2 linked regions of the Alligator mississippiensis genome follow. The protein of the gene in region 2 interacts with the protein of the main gene of each other region in a pairwise test. Links are inferred from orthologs where the notes say so. Each region holds a gene or a part of one and is shown on either strand. Other genes may lie near its edges.

Region 1 (7,913 bases), on a different chromosome or scaffold from region 2:
TGTGTACATAAAGTACGCCGGAGTCTTCTTAGGGGGGACGGGAACTTGTTTAGACTGACTTGTTCCCATTTTTAGTCACACAGGGAGATGTAGGATAGGCTTATTTAGGATGTCCGGGCCGCTTAGTGCCTTGCCCCGCAGTTTTTTACCGCCCAGACAAAAGGTTTCTGACCTGATACCGGCTCATAAAATGGAAATGGGGAGGGAAACACAAGAGGGATCCTTTTACTCCTGCTGTCAGCAGAAGCTACTGGGACAAGGGGTTTGGAAAAGACAAAATTACTCAGACGCCCTGTCCACTGGGTCACGAGGTTTCAGCTGGGCCCCCTTATTTTTGACGCTACCTTTTTAGGCAGAATCGGGGCGGCTAGACCTAGCCTTAGTCCCAGACCTGGTCAGTGGCTTTTTTTTTTAAATACACACACACACATTCATTTAATAGCCAGATAGAAAAAGACAAAATTACTCTGAAGCCCTGTCCACTGGGTCATGAGGTTTCAGTTGGGCCCCCTTGCTTTTAAAACTGCCGTTAGGCAGAATTGGGGCTGCTGAACCCAACCGTAGTTTTAGACCTGGTCAGTGGCTTATATTTTTAAATACACACACACACGCATTCATTTAGTCAGCCAGACCTCCTCCCCCACACCGCCTTAGTTAATTAACTACAAGCCCAATGTGCTGTTGGATGAAGGTGCTTCAAAGTTTTTCCCTGAATAAAACATACGTTACCAGACAGAAAATTGGATTCTTTACCAGACAGAAAATTTTAGCCGGCAGTAAGGTTTAGACTGACCTGTTTTTAACAAGGTTTAGATCTAGTTACCACGGCTAAGTTGGGAGCCTACAGGCAGTTCTCCTCTGAAACCCCAAAAGAGATTTTGAATTAGGTCTCTTACCTCTTAAGTTTGGCGCCTCAGGGTTTGGAGGGGGGCAGTCCGTGGTCCTCCTTCTTCAGCACGTGTTCTGGATCCGAGTCACGGCACCAGGAATTGTTGTGAAAACACACGCAGAATACTTTTGAATCAGGTTAACAAAAGCTTTTATTTAAAAAAAAACTACAGCTGTAGAGGGGATTCCAAAGTGACATAGATTTCCCAAGCACTTAGAAGAAGTCCGCCCCCCAAAAGCAAAATCAGGAGGCTTATAAAAAAAAAAAAAGCAGCTATAAACATTACTTCATTGCTGTAATCAAGATAGGAACTTATGGGGGAGGCGAGGTTAGTTCACAAACCTCCTTCTTGCACCTGGAAATCAGAGTTGTACATACTTTTTGCTATCTTCAAGGCTGTGGTGAGTGAAGCAGTTGCAGAGGAGTTACAAAGAACAAACACTTTCCCTTATCTGTTCTACTGTACAGAGCCAGCAATTCTCTACAAAGCAGTTATGTCATCTTATAACTCAAATAATCAAAGTTTAAGGCATTTATTTTTTTTTCTGATTCCACACTAATTATGCTTGTCCTTCTTGTTCTCTACATAACAATGAAGTTATAGTCCTCTAAATTTTTTACATTAAGTATATCCTGTACAATATGATTTGTAGTTTTTGTAAACATGAACATGCTTATTTCACAGTAAACCTCCCTAATCCCAAGTAAATTTTGCTATCTGCAAATACAAGTAGCAAATTTACTCACGATTAGTAATGGCGCAAATAGTGCTCATGTAGGTGCCTGACTGGGAACAAAATCTACTCCCGGTCACCCATCCACCAGGAGGTAGAAAATAATTCCCTGCCCCTAGGAGCTGCCTGCTGCAGGGGTAGACTCTGCCACAGGAGCCTGGGCGGGGACTATGTCCCCCCTGCTCTGGCAGCAGGGAACTCCAAACCCCCTGCTCAGATATCTCCGATAGGGAACCAAGGACTGGGAGATCCTTATCTCCCAGCCTGAGCTCTGTGGTGGAGGGCCTTGAGTTGGGAGACACTTATCTCCCAGCGCTGGCTCCATGGTCCAAGCCCCTAGACCTAGGAGCTCAGCCTGGGTGATAAGGATCTCCCAGGATGAGTCCCACAGTCGCAGAGCTGGCACTGGGACCTCCCTCCTGGTGGGAGCTGGGAAACCTGTTCCCTGCCCAGCTCCCCTCCCCAGGCTCCTCTGTCTACATCTTGCCACTTGTCTCACCAGTAAAGATCCTGGTGTTCCCCATTTAAAAATTCCAAATTCTCTGATGAACCCAAATTTTCTCATTAAAATACCCCAAATCTCTGTTATTTTGTGATTTAAAATGAAACAGCACTATATGTAGAGTTGGGCAATGCTTTACTGATATATTTACAATTTTAAAGCAATTTGGAAGCCTAGCAGTGCCTCTATCGTCATAATAAACAAGTTCTAAATATCCTATACACTTTAGCATTTCCTTTCTTTTTTTCATCATAGAAAAATCAGAGCCGCCCCTTTCCACTTTGGTCACCAGGATGTGGGGTGCTGAGAAGCACTGATATCCCAGTGTCCTGCCTGCCCCCACTAGCTCCCTCCCAGCACCAGGACATGCGTCCAGCTGCAGTTGTTCCATCCACTGCTTTGTGGCTGTGAGCAGTACCAGCCCTTGCTGCTCTGCTCCCTGTCTGTGCCCAGGCCCCAGCGCTTCCCCATGCCTTTCCTGGGAAGCCCTTGACTAGGGCTCAGGGACTGGGCTGAGCAAGCTCCTTTCCTTTCAGGCTGGCCTCCCCCTGTACAGGCTGCTCTAGGCAAAAAGCGGGGCTCTAAGCCCAGCTCTAGCTACCTCTCTGACCCAAAGCCCTCCCCTACCCCCAACCCTCTCTCTCATCCCTGCTACCTCTACGCCTCCTCCTAGCCCATCACATCCTGCAAGCGGTTCCTCGTATCAGGCCAGGCCGGCTCCATGAAGGCAGGGAGCCTGGTGTGCAGTATCGAGACTCTAGTGACAGAAAGAGCTGCCCAGTCCTGCCCAAAGGTGCATGCCCCCGGGTCAAGCCAAGGCAGGCCTGTGCTATGTGGCACAGGTGGTGCTCGGTCTCAGGCAGACAGGGCTGCAAGACGCTGCAGGGGGGCTCTGCCAGCAGGTGGCAAAAGGAAGAAAATCAAGGTGATTTTTGTAAAGACTATGGAAAAACTTGAAATGTACAATATCCTTGAAAAAATGTTTCCTTTGATACTTACAGTAAAGAATAATATGAACTGGTTGATGCATAGTAGACTGACTTAATTCTCAAATACATACATTTGGATTGCTGTGACTTTTTCATGAAAAGCCCCTATTGTGTATGTAATACAATGAGCTGGTGAGAGACTGACTGATACAGGATACATGATTTAATCTTAATTAGATCTGTACATGCTGGTAGAATCAGTGAAATACAAATTGGGTGCTCAGTAGATCTGGTGCTCAGTAGAAATCCAAGAGGCATCGTTTCACAAGGAAAAGACTTGAGAAAATAGAAATAGCAAAGAAAGTAGAAAGAAAAGTCTTCCTGAAAGTTCTATTCATATGTGGTAGAAGTAGTTGAGAACATGAACCAATAACAAATATGTCCTTTTAATAGAATACAGGACTACAGAGCAGTGTTCATTAATGGAAAATTATAAATTATTCCCTGAGGAAAAAGCACATTTCATGGTTAGAACATAACATATCAGTACAGGTAAAACTTTGCAAATACTGCATACCCACTGCCTTTACTGGACTGCAAACTGACGTGATTAGCTAATGTTATTACTGTAATGCAAAGAATGGAAAATTGATGGAAAATTTCCATCAATGATAGAAAATTCTCTGATTTTGAAAGCCTAAAATGTCTAGCGGCTTACCATGTTAAATTAGACAAATCAGTACCTTGGAATTCCAAAGTAAAGTCAAAACTGAAAATAAAAAAGTTGGGAGTTACTGAAAATGTAAAATAAATAATAGGTTGCTTTTATACCATGATTGTAAAGGCATGAATGAGTTATAATCCATAAGCTTTAAACACAGTGATAAAATGTAAATATGCACAGAAATCTGTTGAAATGGTACCTGCGTTCTTTGGGGGAAAAGGTGGGGAGCATGTTTTCTGTATTAAATAGTAATGAAAGATCACTGATTCAGTTTCTACTGATTCAGTGAAAATATATGCAGATTACACTTTTAAACCAATTTAACTAGTTAGTAGCTTAAAAACAAAACTACTAGGTTTAGTGCAACTGATCAGGTGGCAATTCCTATTAATTCACAGCCCCCCCCAGGATGCTTTGCACCTTCCCTGCAAGCCCACTAGCCTTGGCCCAAGCGGTGTGCTCCAGCAGAGCAGGAAGGCATGCTCTGCCCCTCCCTCTACCTGCTGTTTCTGGTCTGAACCATGCAGGGCTGCAGTTGCACTTCAGGAATCAAAAGCTGGTGTCTGTTCACTTTTTTTATTGGCTCAACCTATGCAGCTTTAGATTAACCTGTGAAGACTGCATCAATTTAGCCTTGGTCTTTTTGACTTTCTCTATGGAGGCCAGGGATCTTTAAATTCATAGAGGGTTAGGCATGTTTTGCAGGACCAGGTAACATCAACCTGAATTCAAGGCAAACAGAGAGAAATCCCTGCAATATAATTTCCTTGTCATTTTTTCATGGAACCTCACTTTTTGTTTGTTTGTTTGTTTGTTTAATTCCAGCTTTAATGGATGCTGGACAAAACCGCAGTGAAGATGCTTGATACCGATTCCCTGCAGCACTTACTTCGCTGCCTCCATCACACACGCAGGGGAGCTTTGGGGAGTTCTCTGGGAGTGAAAAGGAGGTGGCAGCGATCCCTGCAGACGGACTGTGCTGAAGGCGCTGCCTAGCAAGCCGGCGAAAGGCCGCGCGCGGTTGCGGGGCGCAGGAGCAGCGAGACGCTGCCCGTCGCCGCACGGGCTGCAAGCAGCGGCGCCCGCCCAGGACGACGGGCCCCGGTGCTGGGAGCAAGGCGGCCCCGACGGGGCACCCGCACGGACCCGCCTGCAGGCCAGGCGCCGCCCTGCTCCCTCGGCGGCCGCGGGGGCCCGGGCCAGCGCCTCTCCGCGCCCCGCCCAGCCTCCTCCCCTGCCCTCGCCCTCCGGGCTTCTTCCCTCCCCGAGGCGGCCGCGGCTCCTGCCCCATCCCAGGCAGCGCGAGGGAGCGGTGCGGCGAGGCGAGGCGAGGCGAGGCGAAGGCAAGGGGGTGCGCGGGGCGGGAAGCGCGGCCCCGGGGCTGGCGGGGCGGTGCGGGTCCGGGGCGAGGGCAGGCGTCCGCCCAGCCCCTGCTCGCGGCCCCTTGAGGCAAAGCGAAAGCCGCACCTGCAGCCTTTCCAAACAGGCTGTCCGCCCCCTTTCCGGCAGGGAGCGGCGCCGTTACTTCCTCGTTGCTGAAGTGCGGGCAGCCCGGCCCCGGCCCCGGCCCGAGCTGGTCCCCGGCCGCTCTGCCTGAGGGGCTCCCCGCACAGCCCGCCGCGCAGGTGCGTCCGGGCGGGGCGGGGCGGTGTCTGCCGCGGGGGTGCGTGCTAGGCCCGAGGGCGCGTCTTAGCAACAGTTCTGGCTATTTAATAAGGACTGGGAGGCAGAGCCTGAGGCGCTGTCTGTCATCTCTCTCCTGTTATCGTATCAACAAGCTTGTGGCCCGACTTGGCCAGTGGCAGAAAACTGGATGCTAATGGTTGTCTTTACTGGACAGCGTGACTCAAACACCAAATCTAAACTCTTCTCCCCTCTGGCTGACCAGGACCCTTTGATCTGTATTACGGGAAGGAAGAGGGGTCACATTTTAGGTTACTGGTGTCTCATCCCTCTGGCATCCATGTTAAAATATTTAATCTGCTATTTTTCCTGGCCTATTGCTGAAATGCAGACAGTAGCTATAACTGATTTAAGTTAACTTGACTATAGGCAGTGCTGTAGCGTGAAGGGGCGCCAACAGGCACTACCCGGCAGAGGCACAGGATGGAGCCACAAGCAGCTAGTTCGGCAGGGCACAGGGGAGGGCGGCTCCCATAGCTGCAGGGGCTCCTGGGCAAGCATGGGGGGCATGTGCCCCCCAGATCGGTGCATGGGGTGTGGGCAGGCTGCTGCTGCGGGCTTTGCCCCGGGTGCCAAACTTCCTTGCCATGAGACTGACTACAGAGAAGCTTGGTAGCCATGTATAATGAATCCACCTGTTCCTTATTAGGTTCATATGCCCCTGGATAAAGTGGTAGGATGAAATACAACTAGAGGGTGGTGAAGCACTGGAACCGGCTGCTTAGAGAAGAGGTAGAATCTCTGTCCTTGGAGGTTTTTAAGACCTGGGTAGAGAAAGCCTTGGCCTAGATGATCTAGTTGGGGGTGGTCCTGCTTTGAGCAAGGGGTTGGGCTAGATGACTTCCTGATGTCCCTTCTAACCCTGGCTTTCGATGATTTTGTGTGCGTCGCATAGACAAAAGCAGGATTCCTTGATATGCAGACTTGATAAAGCCCCATAAGCACATAGCTGTTGTTGCTGGCTGTGGATATAAAGGAGAGGTGATCTCTGTAAGTACCATAGGCTGGCCTTCTTGGTAGGATTTGAATATTATGATAGAAACCTTAATTTGGACTATGATCTTGTATCATCATTGTTATTTTCAAGGTAAGGGTGCTTTGTTCCCAGTTTGATTTGCAGGAAGTGAGCCTGAAGGTCACAAACGCATTAAAAACCATGGTCAGATCTCTGATAAAATGGGAGAGTCCTCCAGCCAACCTTATTTGGAAGTTCGCATTTTGCCCAATTTTGGTTTTTTTGGATATGCAAAGGAAACAAGATGTTCAAAAGGACTTTGAAGCTGTGTACCAACAGTATGTTCAGCAGGCAGGGACCATTCATCAAGTAGTACCCAAATTCCTCAGATTACTTCTTCACCAGTATCACTTCCTCATTTTGCCTGGATTCAGTTTCATCCCAGTTTGTATGACTTTTGGTTTTGGATATCATTTTTGGATGAGAGTTGCGAAAAAAAGCCCCTAACTGTTACATTTTCTCAGATAGCATTTACCTTTTCAAGGTGAAACGGTCATGCTTCCTCTATTGTGAAACTAGAGTGATAAAAGTATGACTATATTACTGAAGGGAGTGAGAATGTAGTTAACTGCAAATTCTGCTGGGATTAGATGAAATTGCAATATTTGCTATTTTTCTTTCATCTCATTATTCATTAGGTGCTTGCTGTCATCAAGTCTAGTGGGAATCTCATGGCACAGCACTCAGCTGAGCCTGAATCTCTGTCTTGCACATTGCATAGTTGCATCTGTGCAAAGCGAGCATATTTAAAAAGATAACTGAGTGGTAGCGCTTCTACACTCAGTTTATACTTGGGTAGTGGGCTGCAAACAGCTCAGTGGCTCAAGCCCTGTGACTCCAGCTTCCCCAGTAGCACTTCTTGCTATGTCTATCTGGGAACTGCATTTTGAGCAAGAGAGAGCACAGTAAGGAGTGGTGGCAACACAGAGAGGCTACAAGCCTCTTCCTTCCTTGGTAGTGTCCTGTGAATAAATGGGTTTAGTGACTCAGTGCTTGGTGCACACCTTTTCTCTTTAACTTAACCCCTACCCTGCTCCACTTAAATTGGGAGTTAAGTGGCAGTATTCTCCCAACACAGCAGGATTATCTGATGCTGTTTTTATTAGGAACCTGGCACCTGGACATTACACCTGCAAAACAAAAAATAGGGCAAGTTTACATCAGTGTCCAGAGTGGACAGATGACAAGCTTTTTTGGAGTAGCTGCTGCTGTAGGCATTATTGCATTGCCATGGGGTGTAAAGGGAGCTGTTAGTAGTTTTGCACTGAATGCATCTTCCCCCGGATAGAAATGGACATGATACTTCAATTGGTGGAGTTTTACTTCAGTTTTTCCCCTTCCTACTCCACCTGGAACCTCTATGCTGGGTTCTTCTAAACTCCACTGGACAAGTGTTATATGGGCATGGTTTAACACTGCTCCTTCCAGGTTTAAAGT
Region 2 (7,604 bases):
AGCTACTGCACTAATTTTAAATCTTTGCCTATTGGACTGATTTTAAATCTTTGCCTTAAAATTAACCTTTGTTTAAAGTTCATAAGATTGTCACAACATGCTTCTAAAATACACGTCCGCTTTTACATGAACAAATACATACATCACAACCTGGGTAATACAACCTAGATGAAGCTTCATCAGCCTGACAAAGGGTGTGTTTGTGCCCAAAAGCTTGCTAAGAAAATTTTTTCCAACTGTTTAAATTGGTCTAATAAAAGATATCAGATTTACCCAAAGAACCTTGTCTGCCAGTGTCCTTAGATCAGGGGTGGGCAAAATGCAGCCCGGGGGCTGGATGCAGCCCGCCAGGCCATTCTATCCAGTCTGCAGGGCCCCTAAAAAAATTAGAAAATTAATTAACCTGCCCTGGGCTGCCTGTCATGTGGCCCTTGATGGCTTTCCGAAACTCAGTAAGTGGCCCTCTGCCCAAAATAATTGCCCGCCCCTGCCTTAGACCAACACGGCTATAACCTACGCCCCTGAAACCTGGGTAATGTGCATTCATAGTAAAAAGCATGTAACTGCTGTTTCTGCTTCTAATTTATATTCTACATCCTATTTTCAGGAATAAAAAAAAAAAAAAGTATTTTGAATTAAAATAATTCAGAGTTGACTGGCTCCTCTCTACGATCACAACAAGGTCATATTTAAGATCTGATGAGTACCAGATCTATTTTTTCAGAGGAACTCCTTGAACAAGGCATTGTAGGCAGCTCTTTCCCGTTCAAGGAAGTACATAAATGCAAGCCTGACTTCAATTAGACTTAAGCAGAAACTTAAATGCCTGAACTGAGGCCCGAGTCAGATATTAATACCAGTGCACAAACATTAATAAATACACCCCCATTGCCGACAACATTTTCATTAGTAACCGGATCAGTTATGTTCAAAATGTCTTTGCTTCAGTACAGCTGTTATTTGAGCCTCTGCAGCACAATTCTGTTGAGAGTCTGGTTTGCATATGCTGTACTGTGATTATGAATATTTAAATACTTCCATCTAGTTGAATTTCACACTCATTTGCATACATTGGCATACTATTAATATAATACATAAGGGGGATAAAAGGGTACACATTGCATTTTTAATTTATCTCCAAGATGAATTTATTTTACAAGCGCCAGAATCTTTACTGCAGAAAATAGCTCGGTCAGAGAAAGAGAGAGAAGAAAAAAAATTATATTCAAATGTGGCCTAGGAATAGTTGACAGAAATAACATTTGCTCTGGCCGATTGTCAAGCCCCTTGTTCCAATGCTTGCTACGTCCACAGGATATTTTGGTAGAAGCCCAAATTAGTATTCCAGCTTTCTTGTCTTTGCCTCTCACTGGTTTAGACATTTGGTTTCTCTACCATACGTAGCAAAGGGAGTGCACTTAACCATGGAGTTTCTGACACCCCTCAGAGATATGCAATTCCACAACTGATGCATTTGCCACTCACCAGCTTCCTCCAGATGTTCTGGGACTAGGCCTGCCTTTCCCACTGCCTAGAGCTCAGGTAGAGAGAGAAGTCTACCATGTCTTTATGTTGGCCTGCAGGCTTCACCTGTCCCGCCAGAGAAACTCTGCCCCCAACTAACTCATGGACAAAACTCCCATTCATTTCCATGGGGCCAGAACTTTGCCCTGGGGGGGTAGCAAGCAGGAGTTGTCACAAAGTAATTATCAGCTAATGATTAATTACTATTTTGATATCACCAATTAGGCTTCTGCACCTGCAGGGTTCTGAGTGGCCACAACTGTTGTTAACCTCAGGCTAACAACACAGGAGTATAAGTACTGCACACACGTTGGGAAACCCAGGGCCTTTCCAGGTGTGAGTTTGATTTAAATTGAGGGGAACCCACCCCCCCAAAAATTATCCATGTCAATGGGCACCTCGACATGTTCATTAATGTGCTTTTGCTAATGCCGATTAAAATTAGTACCACTAGAAAAAGGCACATTAGCTTTTTTTTAACGTGCATTAGTGAAAGCCCACTTTTTTTGGTGATGCTTTAATGCTCACTAAAGCACGTGTGTTGCCATGCTGGTCTGCACGTTTTGGCCCTGCGCAACATCACCGTGAAAAAAGCAGTGCCACTCCCTGGGGCATTGGCCTACTTTGGGCAGATCTAAACTTTCCTGCAACTCCAATGTTTTGCATTTTAGCTGCTAAGTGCAAACAAGTGTCCCAGGCCACCCACAGACAGAAAACCCTCCCAGTCCCAGTCCCTCTTAGAATGCTTTGTTCTAAGCACAAGGGGCATTTATATGCAAGGCTGGGGGAGATGCTTTAATTAGAGCAGCTCCGAGTGCCACTCTAATTAAAGCGCCCTGAGTGTTTCCTTTATCACTGTCCCCATGCTTCAAAATGATGGTAATTGCCATGCTCCAGCAGACTTGATTAATTGAGTCTGCTTCAACACGCTGGAATTACAGCACATAGGAGCAGCCTTGCTGCTCGTGTAGGTACTAAGAAAATGCACATTAGCCTATTTTAATGCACATTAACTAAATAGCACTGTTTTTAAAGTGACACTTTAATGCACATTAAAATAGGCTAATGCGCTTTAAAGCGCACGTGTAGATGTGCCCAAGCAGACCTTTTGTGCACAGCCTAGCACTTGAAAGTAGCCTTTAGTTTTAAGGGCGTCAGTTCAGGGGTGATGACACTTTGGGCTCGATTTGCAGAGCAGCGCTAAGAAATGGAGCTTTGAGTGCTGTCTCCATGAGGCTGCAGGTTTCTCAAACAAGATAGTATATATATATATATTTAAATCCTTCCAGGTTTTCAAAATCTCTGGAAGGTGCTGGCTCTCCTGAGTGGAAATGAAATGCTTTGCTTGCTTTTTTTTTTTTTCTCTCCCGGTCACAAAAGAACATGTGCTTTGCCTTTGCTGGGAAGTTTCCTGTATAGCAGCATCAGGAGACTAGAAAGAAAGAATGGTAATATTGACACATTTCCATTAGTGAGGGGTGGGGGTGATCCTGCTAAATGCTGAGCACCCTCCACTCTCCCACCGGTCACCATGAGCTTTGAGACCATGCTCAGCACCTTACATGCAGTAGATTGCAAGATCAGGGCCTTTACAGGCAGCAAGTCTCCATCAGCCTTCAGAAACCATTTTCTAGCTCGTGACGAGAAAACGGCTAGCGTTTTACCCTTCTCTTGCTAATGGCAATGCATTTTCCTTTCCTCCCTTTCTCTTCAGCGCTTACAACTTCAGCGATGCAAAAACCCACTTCCCTGGGTATTTTTAATAGGCGGGTTTCAAGCTGTCTATACTGATCTTACTGCCACTTGAAAGGGTAAATATTTTTTTATAGTTCCCCATACAGGAGCAAGGTGAAGAACATTTGATGCTCATAAATTATTTATAAAGTCCTCACAGGCATACCAAGCCGATGTGCATATTCATCAGGAACCCTGTACATTATTCATGAGGAGTTCACTTAAACACAGAGAAGAATGAACCGGTTGATTGAGATGCTTAAGAAGGAGCTGGAGAAAGAGGCCTGAGGATTTTTTCTCCTCCTCTTCCCCCCCAAAACCAGGAGGCGTCAGGAAAAGTTTACATCTAAAATTCAGAAAGCGGGGATGAGTCTTTCAACACTGGGAGAACAGGCGCATGCTCTCCCGCAGACAAGAGGAGGGAGGTTTGCCCCAGGGGCAGCAATCCCTCGGTTTGAGGACAATCTTGACCGTGGTTCAGCAACCGGTCTTGGGGTGACTGAAGAGCCCAAGCCTGGAGGCACAGGCCCGGCCCAGGGCTGGGATTTCTGCTTGGAAATCGATCCCGCGGGATGAAGGGAGCGGAGGTCTTGCTCTTGAACTGTGCTGACTGACGCACCTTTAGTCTGTGTATGTGTACATACACGCATACAAACATACGCATGCACACACGCACATATACACACACATGCACATACATATATGTACACGCACATACATACACATATGTTCATTCCATCCAGGAAGAGCACACACCAACTGCTGACACTTCCTTAGCCTGATGAAGGGTTTCTGAACCCGAAAGCTTGCTTAATAACTATTCTCCAACCATTTGAGTTGGTCTAATAAAAGATATCAGATTCACCCGAGGAACCTTGTGTACATATACATACACGCACATATATACACAGACGCACATATACACACACAGACGCACATATATACATGCACATATATACACATACACGCACATACATGCACACACGCACACGCATATATACACAGATACATGCATAGATCTACATACATACATGCACATGCACATATATACACATGGACACAAATACACACATGCACATACACACACACGTACACACATGCATAAACACAAGCACATATACACACATGCACACATACATGCACACACGCGCGTAGACACAGACACACGAGCCAGGAACAGGCCGCCCCTGCCCGACCCCTCCCAGCCGTGACGCAGCAACTCGGGAGCCCCGCCCCCGCCCGGCCGCGGCCCCTTTAAGAGCCCGCGCGACGGCGCCCTGACGTCATGACGCTCTGCGGCAACGTCGCGCGTCCCCTCAGCCCGCAGTGACAACAACAAGGAAGTGAGTGCAGCCGCCGGCCCGGACTGACGCGCAGCGACCCGGCCGCAGCCCCGCCGCCATGAACAGCAAAGGTGCGGCCCGGGCAGCGCCCCCCGCCCCTTGCAGGCCAGCGCCGCCGCCGGGCACCGCCGGGCCGGGCGGGGGGCGCAGCCAATGGGAGCGCGGCGGGGGGCGGGGGTTCGGGTCTCCATGGCGCCGCGCGCCTCGGCCTGGCCCTTAACCCCTTCCCTGCTGCGGAGGGCGATGGGGGGGCAGGCGGGGGTGGGGGCCAGCCGGAGCCTCCTGCCAGGCCCCGTCACGGGCGCGCTTGGCCTTGTCCACGGCCCCAGAGGAGTGTGTACACACTCACTACAGCCTGCACAGAATATGCACACACATGCGCGTGCACACCACGCTCATTAACACCGATATAGAATTCCCACATGCACACACGCTTGTTAAAACCCGTACAGCATTCACAAACACGCTCGCACACGTACACCTGTGTGCGTGCTCAGGTGTCGGTGTCGCTTGGCGGCACCGCAGAGGTTAAACGTGTCCATGCAGAACCTGCCGTCCGTGCGGGGGCTCACACTAGGGTCCCTCTTCCCGCCCCTCCCCTTCACCCTGCCCTGGACTCGGAATAGATTAAAATGCTGCTTTTGGGCATTTACAATCCACGAGCGGTCTTTAAACATAATCGGAGGCCGGACAGGAGCTGACAGTGGCTGGCTGGAGTCCGGCCTCTCTGTGGTTACCTGCTCGCATGCAACCGAGTAGGTAAACACGCCGCTCTTAAACACCTGATAGCAATGGGGTTAAGGGGAAAAAAAAAAAAAGATTAGAAAATAGAGCACAGTGTCAGCTGCACTCAGAACTGGGCAGCGGTGACTTCAAAACTTAACAGCAGTATTAATTATTACCTCCCGTCAGCCTTTGCTTGCAGATTTACTCATGCCTACAACTGCTCTTGTCCATACACGAAGGTGCACGTCACAATAGTGGTCTATCAGCTCTCATTCCGTAACAGTTAAAAGGGTAAGAGGTTGGTAGGTGCCTTGTTTTTGTCGGGGTGTATCGGTGTTTTTCCAGCTTCAGGCCTCCTTTTTTTTTTTTTTCCTGAAGAAACCCAGTCTCGTCTTTTGGGAGCTCAGCTTTTCCGTGACTCGAGGCAGATGGGGTTAGTTTTGCATCGTATAATGTTAGCATCCTGAACAGATGCTCCGGGGGGGTTTGCATATATGATGCAACGCATCCGTAGCTGCAAACGGATCCATACGTAGCGTAGTTGATGCCCTGCTATCTGTGCTACTTGTAGGAGAGTGAGTCAGCTTGAAGTCCAAGCAGTGAAGTGCCAGCTTAGAAAAATGTGGTTTGTTGGTAAACTTTCCACAGGAAGTTGCTTAACTTTTTTTTAACCTGCTTCCTTGTGAAGGACTATAACTGCTAGCTACCTCTTGCTTTCAGTTCTGACTGAAGTAGCTGTATTGGTCGAGAGTGATGAACGGGCTCTGTGGCTGGGAATCGCATGGGGGGTATCTGTTGGTGCATGCCTAACACCTCCAGGGTTAACGATCTCTAGCAATCCTGCTTAAAAAAACTGCAGAAGAAGGGGCTTTCCATGAACTCATCCACCCTCTGTCCGATGTCTGTAAGGGTAAAACTTAACACCAGCTGTATTCTTCTCTCTCTCTCTCTCAGGTCAATACCCAACACAGCCTTCCTACCCAGTCCAGCCCCCTGGTAATCCTCCAGTGTATCCACAGACCATGCCTCTTCCTCAGCCACCACCGTACACTGATGCGCCTCCTGCTTACTCAGAGGTATAAGGCATGGCCCTTTTCTTGCTCTTGCACCTTTTCTCCCCTCCAGCCTCCCATTTTGAGCTATTAACACATGACAGCTCATTGCCTGTATTTCTGGCAGCTTGGAACACCTTTCACCTCATAGGACAAGAGCAGCAAGCGGTCTCAACTGATGATTGCTAAATGATTGCTCATTGACAAAGCCAATGAGACCTCTGCCCCAAAGTGCATGTGTACATGCTCACTTGGTGACTAAACCAGGGTGCTATTCGGGCATTTCCTCTTGCAGATCTTGAATTGGCCCACTCTCTTAAATGGCAGAAACTTCCTTCAGAGCTTCCCACAAAGTGGCTGCTATGGTGCAAAAGCAAAGTAGAGGGTCTGAAGAGGGTGTTGTGCCTCGACCTCTCGTAAAGTGAACAAACTTCTCGTTAGAAGTGATGGAGCTATCTGTGCAGCTGATCGGGCTGCTACGCCTTTATCACATTATCAGCACTTTGAGGAAGGATCTGAGGAAATGGCTTTGGAGCAAGGAATATTTCTTCCAATGCACTTGTGTTCTTTTTTTTTTTTTTCCCTTCAGCTCTACCGGCCAAGCTTTGTGCCTCCAGGGCCTGCCACCATGCCCACTATGTCTGCTGCCTATCCTGGTACTTCTCTGTTCCTGCCTGTGGCACAGTCTGTGGCTGTGGGACCCATAGGCTCCTCCGTTCCAATGGCATACTACCCTGTGGGTCCTGTCTATCCCCCAGGCTCAGCGGTTCTTGTCGAGGGTGGCTTTGATGCTGGAGCACGGTTTGGAGCTGGTGCCACTACTAATATCCCTGTAAGTATGAGCATACCACAGAAACCCCATGTGTCACTTTTGGAGCTACTCAGTAAAGCTGGCAGTCGGGGGCAAGACGACAGTCCTTAAGTCTTCAACACCAGGCATTTTCTCATAAGCATTTAAGCACAATTTCACAAGCAGGTTCATGGAAATTTCGAGAGAGAGTAGGCAGACACTTGATTGGGGTGGCTTAGCTGGGGATGATCCTGAGCAGGGGGCTGGACTAGATGATCTCATGAGGTCCCTTCCAGCCCTGCTTTCCTATGATCTTATAATTGGCTGCAAACTGAGTGCTGGTGTTTGGCTCCCTGTGTTATAAGATGCATCTTGTACTCTGGCTGTTGTCCATTATGCTTGGAGATGGATGAGAAGCCAAGTCTGCATTAAGTC

Evidence for each region.
Region 1: the proteins of DAZAP2 (region 2) and PLSCR1 interact in binary tests that used the Homo sapiens proteins (3 or more experiments, as listed by UniProt). The two-hybrid records come from large-scale screens. The link is inferred for Alligator mississippiensis from reciprocal best matches to the Homo sapiens genes DAZAP2 and PLSCR1.

The regions. Positions count from the first base shown.
Region 1 is NC_081830.1:59,169,702-59,177,614, reverse strand, and holds the start of PLSCR1 (phospholipid scramblase 1), read left to right. Parts: upstream 1-4,883; 5' UTR 4,884-5,121; intron 5,122-5,282; exon of another isoform or gene 5,283-5,403; intron 5,404-7,913. UniProt on the Homo sapiens protein: Catalyzes calcium-induced ATP-independent rapid bidirectional and non-specific movement of phospholipids (lipid scrambling or lipid flip-flop) between the inner and outer leaflet of the plasma membrane resulting in collapse of the phospholipid asymmetry which leads to phosphatidylserine externalization on the cell surface.
Region 2 is NC_081838.1:10,212,155-10,219,758, reverse strand, and holds the start of DAZAP2 (DAZ-associated protein 2), read left to right. Parts: upstream 1-4,545; 5' UTR 4,546-4,659; coding exon 4,660-4,672; intron 4,673-5,513; exon of another isoform or gene 5,514-5,618; intron 5,619-6,281; coding exon 6,282-6,403; intron 6,404-6,968; coding exon 6,969-7,211; intron 7,212-7,604. UniProt on the Homo sapiens protein: In unstressed cells, promotes SIAH1-mediated polyubiquitination and degradation of the serine/threonine-protein kinase HIPK2, probably by acting as a loading factor that potentiates complex formation between HIPK2 and ubiquitin ligase SIAH1.